Schizosaccharomyces pombe: one gene and its partners. Changing the gene in region 3 together with the main gene of any one other region gives a genetic interaction. Each region holds a gene or a part of one and is shown on either strand. Other genes may lie near its edges. The genes, in order: rnh202, psy2, SPOM_SPCC4F11.03C and utp16.

Evidence for each region.
Region 1: mutations in SPOM_SPCC4F11.03C (region 3) and rnh202 together harm fitness more than expected from each alone (negative genetic interaction), as found in Schizosaccharomyces pombe (one large-scale study listed by BioGRID).
Region 2: mutations in SPOM_SPCC4F11.03C (region 3) and psy2 together harm fitness less than expected from each alone (positive genetic interaction), as found in Schizosaccharomyces pombe (one large-scale study listed by BioGRID).
Region 4: mutations in SPOM_SPCC4F11.03C (region 3) and utp16 together harm fitness more than expected from each alone (negative genetic interaction), as found in Schizosaccharomyces pombe (one large-scale study listed by BioGRID).

The regions. Positions count from the first base shown.
Region 1 is NC_003423.3:4,072,657-4,077,836, forward strand, and holds rnh202 (ribonuclease H2 complex subunit), read right to left. Parts: upstream 3,440-5,180; 5' UTR 3,066-3,439; coding exon 2,184-3,065; 3' UTR 2,061-2,183; coding exon of another isoform or gene 1,710-2,060; 3' UTR 1,648-1,709; coding exon of another isoform or gene 1,582-1,647; 3' UTR 1,463-1,581; coding exon of another isoform or gene 1,377-1,462; 3' UTR 1,296-1,376; coding exon of another isoform or gene 1,215-1,295; 3' UTR 1,110-1,214; downstream 1-1,109. Other genes in the region: serine/threonine protein kinase (CK1 family) Cki1, read right to left, coding at 1-269, 353-478; rex2 (RNA exonuclease), read left to right, coding at 935-1,109, 1,215-1,295, 1,377-1,462, 1,582-1,647, 1,710-2,060; SPOM_SPBC1347.09 (hexaprenyldihydroxybenzoate methyltransferase), read left to right, coding at 4,794-5,180.
Region 2 is NC_003423.3:893,378-899,158, forward strand, and holds psy2 (serine/threonine protein phosphatase PP4 regulatory subunit 3 Psy2), read right to left. Parts: upstream 4,038-5,781; 5' UTR 3,757-4,037; coding exon 3,045-3,756; intron 2,987-3,044; coding exon 1,188-2,986; 3' UTR 995-1,187; downstream 1-994. Other genes in the region: squalene monooxygenase Erg1, read left to right, coding at 1-675; dynein-anchoring factor Num1, read left to right, coding at 4,698-5,781.
Region 3 is NC_003421.2:2,006,151-2,010,199, reverse strand, and holds SPOM_SPCC4F11.03C (uncharacterized protein), read left to right. Parts: upstream 1-2,460; coding exon 2,461-3,468; 3' UTR 3,469-3,549; downstream 3,550-4,049. Other genes in the region: mannosyltransferase Imt2, read left to right, coding at 1,004-2,041.
Region 4 is NC_003423.3:3,649,361-3,653,483, forward strand, and holds utp16 (U3 snoRNP-associated protein Utp16), read right to left. Parts: upstream 2,461-4,123; coding exon 2,423-2,460; intron 2,378-2,422; exon of another isoform or gene 2,357-2,377; coding exon 1,814-2,356; exon of another isoform or gene 1,670-1,813; coding exon 1,267-1,669; 3' UTR 1,001-1,266; downstream 1-1,000. Other genes in the region: karyopherin exportin-T Los1, read right to left, coding at 1-721; ubiquitin protease cofactor Nxt3, read left to right, coding at 2,947-3,060, 3,129-3,203, 3,320-4,123. UniProt on the Schizosaccharomyces pombe protein: Functions as part of the small subunit (SSU) processome, first precursor of the small eukaryotic ribosomal subunit that coordinates the first two steps of ribosome biogenesis in transcription of the primary transcript pre-RNA and pre-18S processing.

The DNA of each region.
Region 1 (5,180 bases), on a different chromosome or scaffold from region 3:
ATGTCTCGATAAACGAGACTCTTCTCATGGATAGATTGCACTCTTGCCAACATCTGTTTTGCGGCCATAGCAACTGTTTTTACACTAAATTTACGGCCGCAGAGATCGAGCAAATCTTCTAAACTTGGCCCAAGAAGGTCAATCACCAAAATGTTATGTAACCCTTCTTGGCCAAAATAATAAACATTCGGAATACCCGTACATCCTGCCAGCAACTTGTAAGTACGGTATTCATCACGTAATTGAGGAGCATCACTGCGTCTTGGTTCCTATAAGCAAAATCAATCAGTAATGAAGGAAACAAGAAAAATATCCAGCTTCAAAGCATGGCATCAAATGGATTCTCACTTACAAATTTAATGGCTACTTGTTGATTATTCAACAAATTCGTCCCTTCAAAAATAACACCAAACGAGCCTTCGCCAATTCTTCTTCCAACTTTGTAGTGGACACCGACTACATTGTTTTGTCCACTCATTATCTTTGAACGATTTGTGCTGGAGATTTGTCAAATATGATGTCTCCGTTTTCCGCTATCGAATGCAAAAAACTAGGTTGTAAGCGATTCCTGTTTAAATACTTTTATGAATTAGATTGAATCACAAAGATCTCCTATACAAACCTTGAAATTACAACTATTCAAGCCGTTATTGAGAAAAGAGGTGGATGGTGTTGGAACGGATGTTTTTAGTGGTGCTTTAGTTACGGAAGTGTCATGTGCATCACTTCCCTCTATTCCTGCCTGATTAAGGGGTTAGGTAATGCTGTCTTTGGAATACAAACACTGTTTCAAAACGTTTAAATAAACATACTATTACTAGTTTTCATTGCAAAAATCAATCGATAGCTAAGTTTTTAATTTTAAAAAATCCCGGATATTAAAATCCAACTTACAACGAAGTACTTTCATTAAGTAATAATACCGTATTTTCATATGCAAGGTGCATTCTTAAATAATAGAATCATTTTGCAGTCATATCACATTAAAAAACGCTTGTATAGCAAACGCACTAGCTCGTTGCATTCGCGCTTCTTGCAGCCAACATATCGCAAAAATATTTGTCAAATTTCCAAACCCATTTTCCAGCAAGACTTATCAACGAATACGAGTATGTTTAGATTCAGTCTATCAAGTTATCATTTCTACAATTTACATGTTTAAGTTTCTTTTTGTCGATGTGTACCTCAGTTTTTAAACTTTTACTAATATAAAGATTTCATCTCAAAATTGAAAAGTCCATTCTCCAACCTCAAAATGTCGAATTTAAAGCAGCCCCTTGTTTGGATTGATTGCGGTTAGTGAGCTTTAGTATAATCTTAGCTTTTAAAATGCATTACGATGGTTTTATAGGTAACTTGTACTAATATGATTGAAGAGATGACCGGGTTAGAGGTGGGAAAGCATGTATTGATGGAGGTCGCGGCAATCATTACTGATGGAAATCTTCGCCCCGTTGAAGAGGTAACTTTTAATTGTGAACATTGAAACATCGGCTTTTAACTTGAGATGTTTCAAGAGAAACAAATGCATGGTTTCGAAGTTGAGCGTTTATTAAGGCTGTCATACTAACTAAGGCGTAGAAATTTGATGCTGTTATTAAACTCGACGAAAAGCAATTGAGTGAAATGAATGACTGGTGTATTGAGGTATCTTTTCTTGCTTTTAGTTCATTCACGGATGTCAATTTTCTAATTATACTAATAAACAGCAACATGGGAAAAGTGGTCTTACGGAAAGATGTAGACAGAGTAATTTAACAGTGAAAGACGTTGAAAACCAGTTGTTAGCATACATTAAAAAATACATTCCAAAAAAACGAGAAGCGTTAATCGCTGGAAACAGTGTCCATGCAGACGTAAGGTTTTTATCTGTCGAGATGCCAAAGATAATCGAACATTTGCATTACAGAATTATCGATGTTTCTACTATTAAGGAATTAGCCAAACGCTGGTGCCCGGATATTCCTGCTTATGATAAAAAGGGTGATCATCGCGCATTGTCGGATATTCTTGAAAGTATTGGTGAACTTCAACATTACCGCTCTTATTGGCTTTCTTGAAACATTGCTCAAGAAAGAAGAATTCCACTTTTACAGCAATTGACAATATCTTGTAAACATGCCAAAAAAATTAAGGGTACTATGCTAAGAAAAAAATAAAAGCAAAATCATACCTCGGTGATCTTACTTTTTTGTAAAGAATGAAGATATTTTCGTCATTCCTTCTCCTGAGAAGTATTTGGACTTCTTGGTGGCCTGCTTCCGATTGGGCTTTTTTAAAAGACTTGATGTAATATCACTGTTTTGTGGACGTTTTTTAGAATTTAACAAAGCTTCCTTTTCTACCAAAATCTTTCTTGATTCTTCTAAGTTTTTAGTGTAAGCGTGCAGTGGGGCCAATTCTTCCTGCCAGTAGGCTAATTTGTTATACCATTCAGGTTGAAGATCTTCACAAACCAATGAAGCGGCATGCCACTTGCATGACAATTCTAGTAAATCTTGTGGAAGCGGCGTGCGGAGGTCCAAAGGCGCTAACTGTTTTTTAAGTTCGGTTACAATACTAGGGGGAAGATTTTCTTGAGCAACCTTGGCTTTCCTTAGTAAAATTTTAACAACAGAAGATTCATCCAGTTGAAAGGTCTTGGGCAAAGATCCTACTGGCTCGTTTACTTTACAAATCCGATGTAATGTGTTCAACAAATTCGGAGAGAGGACTTCTGACACTCGTGGATAATGAGGACCCATATTATCAAAGTGTTCAATGAAGTCTTCAAACGAGACATATCGATTCGGTTCTTTCCGGCGACTCCAAGTAAGTTCCTGAATGATTGGAAGCACAAGCGCGAGTAAGTCTATCGGGGTGCAAACATAGAGATATCCGTCCGATACTACATGATCCCCTACAAACCAAGACCTTTGTTTTGAAGAATCCCCAACTTGAAGGATTTGTAAAAGGTGATCGTTTGTTAATAAATAACGAAGTGGTCTCCCGGTCAAGGGATGTGAGAGTTCAACAAATTGTTGATTTGTAGAATCTTTGGGTAGTATGAATATCTTTCCCTGCATTTTTTAAGTTTAAATTATGAAACCCCAAAATTTGTGAGGCAATCACGTCTGAAACTTCGTACCACTATTTGCAACAAAAGTAAAAAATGCAAAGATATCAATTGAAAACAACTCTGAGTACTTGCAAACACAATTTTTTAATTAGAAAGATTTCGTTGTGTAACTTTCAGCTAAAGATGAGTATTTTGTAAAAGTATTGACAACGATTTGGGTATATCAAAATTTAAAACAGTGACGACTCTAGTTGTACATATACGAAAGAAATTAAGCATATAAAATTGATTGTTCCTCTTAAGATAATCATGAAGTTGATATAAAAGATGGCTGAAGTAAGAGGAGATTCGTACCGACTTTTTGTTGTCTGTTCAAGACACGTTGTTAGTCAAGAACTCCATCTTTATAAGAAAGCAGTACAAAAAAATGAAATGCATATTCTTAAAAAAGAAATATAACAGTCGATGTTGAAGTCAAGAGCGGCAATCTTAGTTATGAGAAATTCAATGGTAAACCACGGTAGTGAATTGAATAGAAAGCTTGCGGCTTCAAGTACCAAAAAAAAACAGCATTGGTTAAATTGAAAAGCCAAAGTATAGATATCCTTAATAAACTAATAAAATAGACATTGAGTATTTTCTCATCTTAATAATTGCTAGATTGACTATACTAACTGTTTATCACATCGAATTTTTTTTTTTTTAATGAAAAAAAACTGGTTGCGGACGTTATACATAAAGAGTGTATAATGGTGAACAAGACTAAGTCTACATGTTCTACTACGTTGATTGTAAAGTAATGAAAAACGTGAAGTACATTAGTTGAAAATTAGTGAAGTAACTAAAAGCGAACGAATATGACCTTCCTTGCTTGCAAGTACCTCAAAGGTGGTTGATGTGTTATTTAAACCATTGATGAATGAATCTTCCTCGTGTACATTCTTTCGGTGTAAGTCTCAAAATGGGTTATAACATTATTACATTGCTACCGCATTTTTTGTGACATGAATAGATCAACTTCCAAATTACTGTTTCATTAGCGAAGCTCCTTTTTGTATTTTTACTTAACAGTAAATACTTACAGTGATCTGAGCAATTTATGGAGCCTTTCTTGCGGGCCACTTTGAGAGCCATGCAGCAAGTCAGCTAGACTAACAATTTAGGCCAAATGATTCGTACTTTTTAACGAATATCTTGAATCATGCTTAATTGCTTCATTTAACACCCTACCTAGGGATTTACTCAAAACGATTCATGTAAACAATACTTTACAATTCAATGCAAATAGTGTGTTGGAACGAAACCCAATTTAGCTTCTTAAATTATGCGCAGCGGTTTCCAGTAGTATATAAAAAGTCCAAGCTTATTTACAAAATTCGGGTATTAGGGTAATACAAAAATGAGCGTTATACAAAAGCAAAAGGACGGTCACAGGAATCCTAATCTGTCGAATACAATAATTTAGTTAAAATAAGAAGCTACTGAAGTTTCTATATTAACAGGCTCTTTTCTGTCTAACATCCAATAATAGTTCTAAACAAATTCTCGCTTAATAAGTTTTAGTTATATTAATCATAAAAAGGGAAATTGTGCTAATCTTTCATAATCGTGGTACCTTGTGACATAAATTTTCAGTCATAACCATTTAAAGATAGTCCTTGATTATCTTTTTTTTTAATATTCCTATTAGCAAGACTTCACCGTTCATTAACAATATAAAAGGAACTAAAATATCATGTCGGATATAGTTTATGCCAACGTGTCTCATTACAACAAAATAGAAGCATCGAAATATGACAATCCAAGTACCTTGGCGATTTCCAAAGTGATTTCTTCAAAAATTTTACAGTTTGAAGACAATTCCGAAACCAGCCTAAGACATGATCTCCCAAAATATGATCAAGATAGGCTGCTTTTAACTTCGGATGATGATTTGACAAATGTAAATAATTTTTGGAAGAAAAGTGGTATGAGTATATTGGATTTTGCTTGTGGAACTGGTTTAATTAGCCAACACCTGTTCCCTTACTGTAAACAAATTGTTGGCATAGACGTTTCCCAAGACATGGTGGACGTTTATAATGAAAAATTTAGAAAGATGAACATTCCCAAAGAAAGAGCC
Region 2 (5,781 bases), on a different chromosome or scaffold from region 3:
AATTTACCCCCCATGGAGACTCTTAAAAAATACGTTTTAGAATCATGCGTCCCAAACATGCCCGAAAAGCTTCGCCCTTCCCTCAAGGCCGCTGTTTATAACGATCGTCTTAGGTCCATGCCTAACCAATTTTTACCCCCCACTGTCAACCGTACCAAAGGTATGATCCTCGTTGGCGATTCAAACAATATGCGCCATCCCCTTACCGGCGGTGGTATGACTGTTTGCTTTCACGATGCCTATCTTCTTTCCCGATTCATTTCCCCTTCCGCTGTTCCCGATCTTCTAGACTACGAGCGCATTTTAAACCAAATGAACAAATTCCATTGGAAGCGTAAGGGTTACAGTTTTGTAATCAACGTTCTTTCCATTGCTTTGTACAAATTGTTTACCCCTAAAAATCGCTATATGAAGGCTCTTGAATCGGGCTGTATCGATTACTTCAAGCGTGGAGGTAATTGTGTTGAAGGTCCCATTCGTTTATTAGGCGGTTTAGACCATAGCCCTTCTCATCTTATCGGCCACTTCTATGCCGTCTGTCTCTATGGTATTTACCAATATGTCTTGTCTGGTCCTGCTTTGCTTATGCCCGTCCGTATCATCGAATCCTTATTGATTTTCTTACAAGCTTCGCTAGTAATTATCCCTTATATCCTTAGCGAAATGTCATCCTAAGTTTGCAGAATCAGTTCATTAAAATTAAATTATTTTTGATTTATGAATTGGTTGATTATGATTGTCTTGGCAATCACTGATAGCTATTTGGTTTTTGCCTTGTTTGGTACGTCGTTGTTTTTAAAGAAATAGTTTTAGATAGAGTTGGGTTCAAGTTTGTAATGACTTCACACTCTTTTTGTTTATTATATAAATCCCTCTGTTTTTCAAGAGTTATAAATTGCCGTTTTAATATAAAATACTTTTTTTTAATTTTTAAGCCTACTAAGTACAATTATTCGTCAGCGTTAAGTAAACAATTATCCCGAGACTACAAGACCACGATAGTAACATGAAAATTGGTATTTATTATTTTAAAAGTCCCTTAATGAACAACCCAAATCGTTTATATTATACAGATGAGTTTTCAAAACAATGATAAACCCGGGAACAAAAATACGATGTCCATATGATGATTCACTTGCATTACAATCTTCTAGAGTTTTTGGAGCTTCCCTTTTTATGTTCATCTTCTAGGAAGCGTAGCCATTCTGGGCAGAACTTGAATCGATAGAGAGTCTCTTTTTTGGTGATTCATCATCAGCTTGCTGATCATCAACTTGGAAATCCGATTTCCTTTTAGAATAACGGGTGTTTGAAACATTAATACCTGAAGATTCTGCAGAGGTATCATAAACTGCAGACTCAAGGAAATAACGATCCTCTAATATAGGTTGCTTTGGCTGCTCGCAACTGTCTTCAATATTTAGCTCAGCAGGGGCTATAGAATCAAGAACAGTACGTTGTCCAACTTTTTCTGATAATTCAGTATCGTTTTCAATAGAAAAATCTTGCTGTATTTCCCAATCTTTGGATACGTCGTCTCCAACACGTTGGTTATTATTGGAGGCACCGTCAAATTCATAACTATTTGATTCATGAGTCCCAACAGTTTTAGGGCTTCTTGAGTCAGAGCTTAAGCCATCTATTATATTTAAAAGCTCAGAAAAAGTACTGAGATTATTTAAAGATTCCAGCTGTGGTCGATAGTTTTTATTGAGATAATCCAGTGTATCTTCAGATCCCTCGGATCTTAAAAATTCAAAAAACTCTAAAGCAGCTGAGTTGACTAAATTAGTTTGGTCTTTGACCTTTAACATCAAGTCCAGAACTTTTCCGTATGTGTCAGTTTCTAACATGATCAAGGACATTTCTGACTGACGAGCGGCCAAACAAGAGCGAATAAATCTAAGGGCGCTCAAAACAACATATTTTCTATCGCTGTATAGTAATAGAGCCACTTTTGATGTAAGGGTTTTATATGTATCAAAACGACGAGACCAATAATCGTGTATACGAAAAAAATAACAAAAAAGCTCACACAAATGCATATACATATCAAGCTTTTTAACATCTAAACTCGATACATTTTCCAGCTCCAATAAAGGAGCAGCAAGCATATTAAAAGAGTTATCATAAAAATTTTCAATAAAATTAATTCCAATAATGTTATCGGTTTTATTTCGAACATTTCCATCAGCATTTCTGTAAGGATTATTGTATGCATAGCTACCAGGTAAACTTAGTAGCATTTTAAAAGCTTCAGAAATTTGAGCAAGTACTCCAGGATTTGATTCTTTATGCAAAATGTTAATTAAATTGGAAAGCAACGAATGTTGGGAAACGTGAGCATTGCTCAATGAAGAAGAAGCGTCCTTGCGATCTTGATCAAACTTTTGCCAAACGATGGCAGGTTCATGATCAATAATAGACACCAAAATATCGGAACCAGCATTTCGAACGGAATTGTTCTCATGTGACATTGCATAATCCAAAGCTTTCAGAAGATTAAATTTAACGAAAGTAGCAAATAATGCAGAGCAGGACTGGAATTGTAGCCCTTTAGCGATGTTGCAAACCTGCTGAATAAAGAATATACCGTCTTGCTTGCGTTGATCATCCTCGCCTTCATTCACATAAATGCTAAACAGTTCATGTAAAAATTTTTCATTTGTTTGAAGGTATTGAATAATATCAGCCTGGTTAAAGAAGATAAATGAATTTAGCACCGAAAAGGAGGGTTCGTCAACAATCCTTGAAACGACAACATCCCTTAGATACTGAAGCTTAAATGTCTGGTGAATTTTTGCAAGAATCCGTGGATCCTGAATGGGAACCACCTGCTTAAACTTTTTGGAATCCATTAAATATTCCCGATGGTTCGCTTTGATATTGGGGAATTCCGGATCGTATTCGAGAATACCAGCTACACACATTAGCTTTTCATCATTAGAGAACAACGATTCGAGTAAAGGGGCGTCGTTCAATTGCACTGACAGCGATTAGCAAGGATTTAACGAATCTAAAAAGTATAAAGTAGATTAACATACCAAAGCTTTTTATTATGGAACACAATCGATGAAGGTCATCTGTATTCTCTAGATCCTCACACAGAGGAAAAAGTTCAATAAGTCTATCAATATAATTTTCATTTGAAACATAACGAACCAAACTATCTCTTGATTGAATAGACTGCATATATCCATATACTGCTTCTTCAATTTCTTTTAAATTAGCAAGCTCTGGGGCTGGAAGATCGACCGTGTTTAGGTAGTTTTCATTAAGCGCCCCCTCATCCGTCAATATATCATCGTTGGAGTAACTTCTAGTTACCGATGATATTGCCTTTTGAACATTTGCTAAAAACATCCACATGTCTATACAACCGCTAGATTCTTGAAAGCTTAAAGCAAGATCAGTACCATTCAATTCTTGCCAGACTATGAGAGTTTCTTCTTGACGGCTGTATATATCTTCCGCAATCAATTGTGTTTTCAAAAGGATGGTTTCATTATCAGCTTCTGAACGCACAATGAAATAAGCCAACGGTCCCTCTATTTTTCCATCGCAATAACCGGTGCCACAGTCTACCCAGTTTTCATCTTCCATTTCGTACACTTTTACACGTCTGGGAATCGATGGCACTTCGATCTTCTGCAATGCAGCTGCAATTGCTTCGTCTAATTCCTCTTCTTCATTTTCTCCATCTGAAATTTCATCAATATTATTATTTAAATCTTCCTCTTCCTTCGTAGAATCCATTTCTACGGCGGATTAAGGGTAGACGTCAGCTTCGAATTTACGACGTTGGCGTTCGTCACCAAATTTTCAAAAGTGAAGACGAAATTCAAACGTGGTGGTGAATGAATGCAATACCGTAGATTGCACCAAGATTGTAATTATTAATAAATGTATTTCTCATTAAATGGCAATGCCGCTTTACTTAATTATTTGGTTTGCCTAAAATATAACAAATAGATTTGTTAAGCAGTGTACTATGTATATTTCACGTGCATAATTTTGAAGTGTTATGGCAGAATTATGTTCTTTATAGAGTCAAATAACTATTATATACGTGATCGTGGTGCTTTCAGTCACTATTTTTCATTGTAATTCGGTATCTGTTTACAACAATATCATTAACGGACGTTATGCATTTTAACGATGAGTACTTCACCGCTCGGTGTATATGCTGTAATCAATCCTTATATCGAGTTGTGTTTTAAACGTTTTATACTGTCTACAATTAGCATTTAAATCTTTTCGAAATAGTAAATAAACTAAATATGAATATAAATAAAGTTAATTATTGTCTAAACACATGTGTAGCCTCGTCAAATCAATTTTTTGCAAGTCAATCATGAGGCTCAGGGTACATTTGTAAAGTAATAGTTAATTTTTAAGTACAAACTAATGGTATTTATACCGATATATATATTGAAAGCTGCTAAAGCTTCGCTAGATATTCAAGTACTCTAGCAAATGCATCAATATAAATACAGTTTTTTTGCTTTTACTAAGTTTTATTGTTAAAGCGTAATACGAGAAATTTGCCAAATGAGAACACGAATTGAATTGATATAATTCCAGAAATAAAAATTATGTATTCAAGACGATGACTGTTGCGATATGCATGCTTACGAGTTTATCGATATATAAAAGACAAAGAGAGTTGAGCTTACCAAAACATATACTGATCCTTCATGGAGAAAAAACAAGATAACGAGGTGGAATTATATTCAATTGATTTAAAAAATAGAAATGAAAGTGCAAAAATAAAGCTTGCTTATGCGAAAGCGTTAGAGGAAAGCATTCTTTGTGAAACACGAAAAATCGAACAAGAAATTAAAGACCAAGTGGTTCAAAAGGAAAATAAAACATATTTTAATAACAAATTTGATAATCGATATAAATTACGCGACTTGGAAAAAAATTTAGCGGAGGAGGAGGTGAGAATTACGGAGATGCTTACTATTCAACGTCAAGACATTGCAATTGAAAGAAGGAAGAACACAAATTGCTTCAGTGAGTCTTCTCAAGTAGATCAATATTCAGTTACTGAAACCAATCTACAATATGCTACTAACATTGGCTTAAACCTTCTGCAACAGTTGCGGTATTTAAGGCTGCAACTGTCAGAGAAAGAAGATTTGCATAAAAAGTTGTCAGTGGATAATGCCCATTTAATCAAGCAACTTGATCTACTTTCTTCAAACATGAAAACACTTATGAAAGAGAAGACTAAGGTGCAAGGACAAAGGGATTTGCTTGAACAAAGACTACAAGGATTAATGAAAAAATTGACAGAAGTAGAGTCTTTGACCGTTTCACTTAACGATGAGAAGAACAAACTGACATTGGAATTAACAAATTTAAGAATTTGCCTTCACGAGCTTCAACTGAATGCCGAAAAAGGCGAAACTATAGATGAAAGTGAAGATTCTAAAAATACTTTGGTAACTGAGGATGAAAACGACGATTCTGTATTTTTGGAGTCTTCCTCGGATAAGTATTTTGATAGTTCATCTTTTGATGCGGAGCAAGAAGAGAAACACGATTTTCCAATAGATCCTTTTTTGTCGTTGGAATCCAATGTACAAACTTCGGTATCTCAATCATCGGCCGTTCTCAAATCCATCAATTTAGCAAAACAGGAGTTAGTGAGTGTAAATCATTTGGTAGCTGACGATACTAAAACACCGTCTCCAAATTTATCATCGGAAATAATTGAAAACACAAAAGCTGACATAAAGAAATCAATCAGGTCTCTGAACAAGGCAGTATCAC
Region 3 (4,049 bases):
GGTTTTCTTTCGCCACCTCGGTGCGAAATCTAAAAAGTGTATTGAGAAAAAAAATTGTGGGGAAACCGACTTGTATTGATTAAGGAGACGCGGGCATGCATGTATGTCTTTCCTTTAATGTGAGAAGGGCTTAAAGTTAAAATACTTTCTTAAAGGCAACTGCAACAGTTGAAATCGATTAATGCGCCGCTTACTACAACAAAAAAAAAATTCGCAGTTTAAAAATCTTTAAGAAATCATATTCACATTACAGTCTGTGATTGTGGAAACTTATTTTTTCAAAGATCCATCAAAAAAGATTAAACCGTTTTACATGGCTGTTATTTACCAAATTTTCCTTACATCAAGCCTTTCAAAATATCACTCTTTTTATGTTTACAAAATGTTAGTTTTGGTCAATTTCTTCTCGTATGATTTTATATAGACGCCTTCAAGATTCAGTGTAAACGAAAAAAATAATAGCATGATTTTTTTTATCGTCATGGTGATGCCTGAACACAAAGACAGAGTGGCTTTTATTTATTATTTTATCAAGCAAAACTCCTTTAATAATAGCAATCACTTCAAAATTTCGCATCATCTGAAGCCTTTGTTTACTATTCTGAAGTCTTGAAAGGGTAATATCTTTCTTCCACTTTGAATAAACATAAAAGTAAAAAAAAAAGTTCCTCTGTTTTTCTCTTTTGAAAAACAAAACGTTTTTCTTGATTCATCCTTATAAAATTGCATTTAGTACTGTCACGAGCATTTGAAGCTTTCTAAGGATTACTTACTCCCTAGTTGTTTAGATTAGCATTTCCATTTTCGTTTTCTCTTTCTTCAGAACAGTCTCCATTAGAATTGGACTATAGTTCGTTGCTAACAAGTTCGTCTCTCCATTCATTACTGTATACATTACACTCTATCGTTTTTCGGATTGCAAGTGCAAACCTTCTAAATCTTTTTAAAAATACTTTTGCCCCTTCTGCTGTTAACCCATTGTTGATATTAGAAAACTGTTAGGATGGTGAAAGTCATATATAAATTTGCAGTTTTTGCTGCCGTCAACTTTTTCTTGATGAGTTCCATCGTTCTTTACTTCAACAATGAATTCTTGATGTTTGCAGACAGATGTACCAAGGACATCATTCCTTCCGAAGAACTAAGATATTTACGCCAAGTTCTTAATGATTCAATTCCTTCCAAAGATGAACCGTTGCCAACTTTGAAACTTGATTCCTTGAACGATATTTCAGGGGAACCTGTTATTCCAAAAATCATTCATCAAACCTGGAAAACCACAGAAGTGCCTGAAGGATGGAAAGGTGCTCAACAGAGCTGCATAGATTTACACCCAGATTACGAATACATCCTTTGGACTGATGAAATGTCTCGTAATTTCATTGCTGATAACTATCCTTGGTTTTTGCCATACTTCGATGCTTACCCTTTCAATGTTCAACGAGCGGATGTTATTCGGTACTTCGTTCTTTATCATTATGGAGGAAATTACATTGATTTGGACGATGGATGTCGTCAACGGTTAGATAGTCTTCTCTATTATCCCGTATGGGTTCGCAGGACCGACCCTGTAGGCGTTTCCAACGATGTTATGGGAAGTGTTCCTCATCATCCATACTTCGAACTGATCATTCAAAACCTCGAAAAAAATGCGAAGTCATATTGGCTTCCCTACTTGACTATCATGTTGAGTACCGGTCCCCTTTCAATCAGCTTTCTCTGGGAAAAGTACAAAAGACAACTACCCAACCCACCCGCATTTTACGACCACATTCGTGTTTTACTTGAAAGGGATTACAAGTTTTCCAACGACTCTTATTTCACCTTTTATGAAGGATCGTCATGGCATAATAACGATGCAGGCATTATCCTTTGGGCTAACCGTCACCTTGCATATGTAATCGTTGCAGGATTTTGTCTTTACTTTATCCTTAGCTATATGTTTTTCTCCAAGCTGTTGGACAGCCGTTATGTCCAAAGATTTGTCACATCGAAACGTAAACAACCTACACTTCCTCTTGCTCTTCAAGAAGACGTCTAACTTTGTGCATTGTACGTTTCCGTAAAATATGCGTCTTCTTTCCTAAAGATGATATTTCAAAGCTCTAGTGTGAACAGGCAACTTCGTTTCAATTTATATTGAATGGTTACACGAATGAGCATCCCCTTTTCCGTTCTACTATTAGGAATTCAATGAACATTTGCTATTGCTTGTTATACTGTGATTACGAGACGGTGCATAGAGAATTGCGTTGAAACTCGTTAAGGAACTATGAAATCTTACCACATATAGAGGAGCCTCAACCTTCACCACCAAACACAAGCTACGTACGCGAACGCGAATTCTAGGGCAGAGTTCGCTGGTTCACAAAAGTTTGAACATCCTATTTAACTAAAAGGTTGTTCAGATCTATTCAGCTTTGTGATTGCATAGAACTCCCATTGTTTGTTATTCCTTCCATGGATGCGGAAGGTGAACAAAAGTCCAATGGAGTAAAAGAACCTAATACGCCCCTTCGTGAAGCACTGGATGAAATATTTTTAAATGTAGGGTATTTGCTTCGTTCCCTTTTGGCTAATGTTCCCAATGCTCTTTACCATAGTCAGTTGCAGGCGGCATGTCAAAAATTCCAGGATTATTGCGATTTGGAAGAAATACGCATTATTGAAGCAAAACGTGTTGTTGAGCGCGATTTAAGATCTTTGGAAGCAAAAGAGGTAGAGGAGAAATCTCAGTTCGCGTCTTTCGTGAGCGCTACTCCACCTGGAGCAAACAGTCTTCAAGGCAATGTATCTTTGCCCTCGGGCAATAACTTTTTCACTTCCTCTTTTGATTCTGAGAACATTTCGAAACCGGGAGAGGTTTCTTTAAGCGAAAGTCAGTTACTGGGTAACTTGAACCAACAATCATCAATCCAGCTTCCTGATAGGATGCCAAAAACAACTAATGGGACTTTAGCAGATCCAAATATGCCACCTAAGACAACTGTAAATGATCAAGACGTAACAAAGGATGCATCTCAGCAATTTGGAGGCTCAAACTTTTCTAATTATTTAAGAGACAACGATTCCTTCCAATTTGGAATGAATACGGATGCATCGGGAGATGCTCATCTGCAGGCCAGTGAGTTTTTATTACCGAATCTATTTGGAAATTCTTCTACCTCTCCGCAAGACAACTTTGGTACTTCCAATTCAGCTCTTTCCCGTAATTTGGATTTGTTTGGCTCCCCATCTTCTGAAAATAAAAGTACTGCAGGATCGGCTTCTTTGTTTCCTAACCAGCAAATGGGAATTGACTTGCAAGCACAAGAAAACTACAGTGCTGCGTTCGGTAATGATGGCAGCTTTGCTTCGCATTTAACTAATACGTTTGACAACGCTCTAAATCTTCCTACAGACATTCCAACCACTGAAAGCATAAATGACTTGTTTGGTGAGAACTTTGACTTCACCATGACAAAATGAGTTGAGTTGACTTCAGTTCAGCTATGTATGATCGGTTTAACGTGGTTGTTTCAATTTGTCAATGTTTTTTTCATGTATTATTATCTATTACTATAGTCATTCATTTCCAGATCATTCAACAAAAAACCTATAAACGGTAATTATAAAAAACAATTGCATGTCTTTATCCGGTGAGTATCATTTGATTGTATTGCTCTGCACCTTTATGTATGAAAACTAGAGTTGAGACAGTAAGTAGAAAAGCGTTGTCTTTTTCCTATGTTTAGGCCAATGCTAAAATCTCGAATACTTGGTACAATTAGTGTATGTATATATATTTTTACGTGCAAATGGTATTTTAGCAGGAACGGGACAAAATAAAGACAACCCGTAACTTCAGAATAATAATTATAATTCGACTTTTAAATCGAAAATTAAAGACGATAAAAGGGTAAAATAAATTTTTTTTGGTGAACGTATAGCCTTTGTTATAAACACCAATGCATGCACGCAAGTACATTCATAATATTTGCGAAGCAATTGTAAATAAAAATACCGAAAACACTCACGAAGAACCTTAAAAAGAGTGAAATGTTTGTACC
Region 4 (4,123 bases), on a different chromosome or scaffold from region 3:
GAAGGAAAGAGTATAACAAGTTCATACACGGTTCATTAACTATCAAATTTATATTGATCCAAGATACCCACTGTGCATATACTTGAAGGCACAATCCAACCGTGCCATAGTTTTTAGCATTACTATAGGCCAACATCATTTCATAGACGAATGAAACGATATCAGACATATCATTTGCCCTAATTGCATCTTTTACTAAATTATCTTTTTGAATTTGAACATCTGTCTTTAAAACCAATGAATCAGCAATCTCATCGCCGATGGAAAGTAAAACCTTCAAATAAAAATTTGAAAACTCAGATTGAGACGACGCCGCAATAACGCCTTGGAGTGAAGCAAAAAAATCATTCCAGTTGCTTGGATATAGTTGAAGAAACAATAATGTCAATAAATGTTGTACAGCATTACTAATATAAGCTGGTTCATCCAAAAAGCTTAATTCCTTAATATAAGACCAAACACTGTCTCTTATCATCTGTAACTCTAACAAATTGCTTTCATTGTTCCATTCTCTAACTTTCTCACTAAGAGTTTGAAGGCAAATCAGTCTTGTTGATGGTTTATATTTCGTTTTTTCACTAAAAATTTCATGGCATATTTTCCAACCTGTAGATGAGCTTCTAAGGCTACCAATAAAATCTGTAGCTTGTTGCTTTATTATTGGTCCTACAGAAGGATCTAATGCTGCTTCTACTGCGTTTTCGACATCCTGGGCCGACATGGCTGCAGAGGTGAAGGTCAACAATGCTTTGAAGTGACAAAATTTTTGTGGTGCTAAAAAGCGAAGTTTGCCTAGTGCAAGTAGTCGAAAGTACAAACCATCTCAGAAATTTATATGCAAATATTTTATAATTATAAGTAGTAAATGTTCATACACTAGACAATTAATAATATATTTATGCAAATTTTGGCCTTATGAGCTATAGCTACTGATATCTATAATATCTATGATGTACGAAACGTTACATGAGCGAATTTCCTCTAGTGCATGGCAATAAATCCTTGATACAACTTTAATTAACTCATGTTTGTCTAAAGTGTTTATTTTTAAAAATACTATGTTAAACATTTACCAAAAAAACAGCCGTAAACTGCACTTAGCATGTCCAAAGCTTCAAATAATGAATGTTTTAGAACCCAGACAACCTTTTCCCAACCAATATTATTAATAAACAAAAAAGTAAACCCTTATATTAACAGAAAATGCAATGCTTGTGCCTGACTTTCAATTTACAGCGAATGTGTTGCCAAATAGAGAAAGGAAAATTAATAAGTCAAGGGACGTCGTCTTTTAGACGCCCGGGGAACTGATTGTCGATTTATCCAATCCCGTTTACGCTGTGACAGTTTCTTTTCATAGTTCGGCGCTAGTAAAGGGTCATTTGTTTCTTTAAGAACGCTCACTTTAAAATCACCTTTACGAAATGAACGAGTACGTTTTTTAGGAATTTCGTTATTAGGAAAAACAATTTTATGTCCTTTTGGAGTATATAGGTCAAGGCTTGCTTCGTCAACCTTTTCTTCGATTTCCGTGGTACTATTAATTTCTTCAACTTCAGCTGCCTCAAGAATAGCCAAATCCAACTTTGATGCGCTTACCCGTTGGGCATTTCTTTCACGATTTCTTTCATTTTGCAGTCTACGTTTTTCTCTTTCAGCTTTTCGAAGCCTAAAATGTGTTAAAAATAATACTATCAAAAGCAAGGAAACGAAATGAGCAGTCGAACTTTTATCAAACAAATTATTATTCTGTCTCAAACCAAAACAAATAGTATTTTTAAGTGTTTCCCTCATTCCGTTTATTAAAACTTACTGTAATTCATTCCCTTTCAGACGTTGAAGTCTCTTTTTTACCTCATCGCTGCTGCTCTTCAGCGAAACTTCTTCAGGTGCTTCATCAGAATCACTGTCAGATGATTGATTTTGAGAGTAGTGTGAGGCTTCATTATCTTCAATTTCCGCTTTCAACAAATCATTTGGTTTGTTTAAATTTGAAAATGAAGGACCTTTGCTTGGGGCAGTCAATCTTGCCATTCTAGTATTTGACAAATTTTCAATTTTCGAATAAGTAATGCAACAAAATGTCTTTATCAGAAGTTTATACCTTAACAGACAAGTTTTGGATTTTAATACTATAAAACGAAGACTATTAAAGGATTTGAAACTTTTTTGACCTGAATTGGTGTAGGAGGAGGATAACTGGCAATGCGAGTGAAACTTCTTAATGCCACCAAAATGGCAGTGAACAAAATGGATAGGATAGGTACTTTCCTGAGTCTTACAAAATTTATCAATAAATAATTTATTTAAAGTAAGATACGTTGCAATTATAGCACTAGATTTTAACCCTTTAATGCTGGTAAATAAGAAGAAGAAAGTAATTTCAATTTTCGTTAATTAAATGATTTAAAGGCTCGCATACTTTCTTTTTAGTATCATAATTTTTCTAGACGATTGCATTTAAAGCTGTTAAACTAATTGACTTTTGGCAAAATCATTAGCAGGTTAATCTCTCTAGCACAGTATATAGTCGTATTACTATTCAAAATGTTTAGTGGTTTCCAATGAATTAACGTTTCTAATATAATCAATTTGCAAAACAATAATAGAAAGAAATATATGCAACTTTGATCTATGGTAAATCATATGATGTTTATGTTATTTGTTGAAATGAAAAACCAAACAATTTTCTGACCAAAAGGTCTCTCTTTCCATCAACTAACTTACTTATGCGAACAAGTTGAATGTAAAAGATCAACAGAAATATCGTTTAGTCTCGTTAAATCCAATTACGAAATGCTGTAATCACGGACATTGAAAGCAAGGAGATGGGACATTAAAAAGACCAACGCACGGAAAACATAAGACACGACCGAATTTTGTTTTGGGTCTTTTAGAGCCAGATTTTCTGTTCTTTGTATAGCTATTGTCACAGTTAAATAAAACATGACTGCGGAAAATGCCACATTATTAGAACCAGTTTTGGGAAAGGATGAGATAGGATGGATGTTCGTTCAAGAATATTATACATATTTAAATAAAGAACCCAATCGTCTTCATGTAGGTCGTCATAATTTACCAAAAGTTTTTTTTTCTTCAACTTGTGAACCGTACTAACTGTAATACAGTGTTTCTATACTAAAAAGTCAACTTTAATTCACGGAGACGAAGGCGAGAGTATTAGTCTTTGTCATGGACAACAGGTATGCTTTAACACAATTCTTATATGTAAAGTTTTTGAGGTTGTGATATTCTGCTTGCGATTTTCGAAACTCTATGATCGTTGTCTTGCCCAATAGTCATTTTATTAACGTGTTAGGAAATTCATAACAAGATATTGGACTTGGACTTTCAAAATTGCAAAGTACTTATTTCAAACGTTGACAGTTTGGCTTCTTCGAATGGTGGCATTGTCATCCAGGTCCTGGGTGAAATGTCTAATAAGGGGAAATTATCCAGAAAATTTGCTCAAACATTTTTCCTTGCAGAACAACCAAATGGTTATTTTGTTTTAAACGATATTTTCCGTTTTTTGCGTGAAGATGTTGAGGAAGAAGAGGAGTCACCTGATGCTGTTGAAAAAGAGAAAAAAGATGTTGCTTCTGAACCTTACGTAAATGGCGTGCAATCTCAAGAACATTTACCTTCTGCAAAAGAAGAAGGCCATTACCAGGATCCAGCTGCTACAGAAAATAATTTTGCCACAGCCGCTCTTATATCAAATGAGACCGACAGTCTAAATCAAGCTACTTTGGCTGTTCCTGAAGAACCCGTTATCCAAGTTACGGAAGCCTCAGTCCCAAGTTTTGTTTCTCAGCAGGAAAATCAGCTTCAAGATGAAGCTCTGACTTCAAACTCGAAGAATGCTGATGCTATAGGGGCTAGCGATGCAAATGTTGCTACAGCACCTAAATCTTGGGCTGATCTCATAGCTCGTAATCATCCTGATGTGAAATCCCAAGCATCAGTTAGTTCTACTGCGTCTACAACTGGTCAAACAGTTAAAGGTGTTAATGCTGACCAAACTCAGCAGCCAACAGCGCCGTACACTCAGAGTAATGAACTGTTGGAGACATCTGTATTCGTCAAGAACATTCCTCCCGAAACATCTGATGTGTCATTG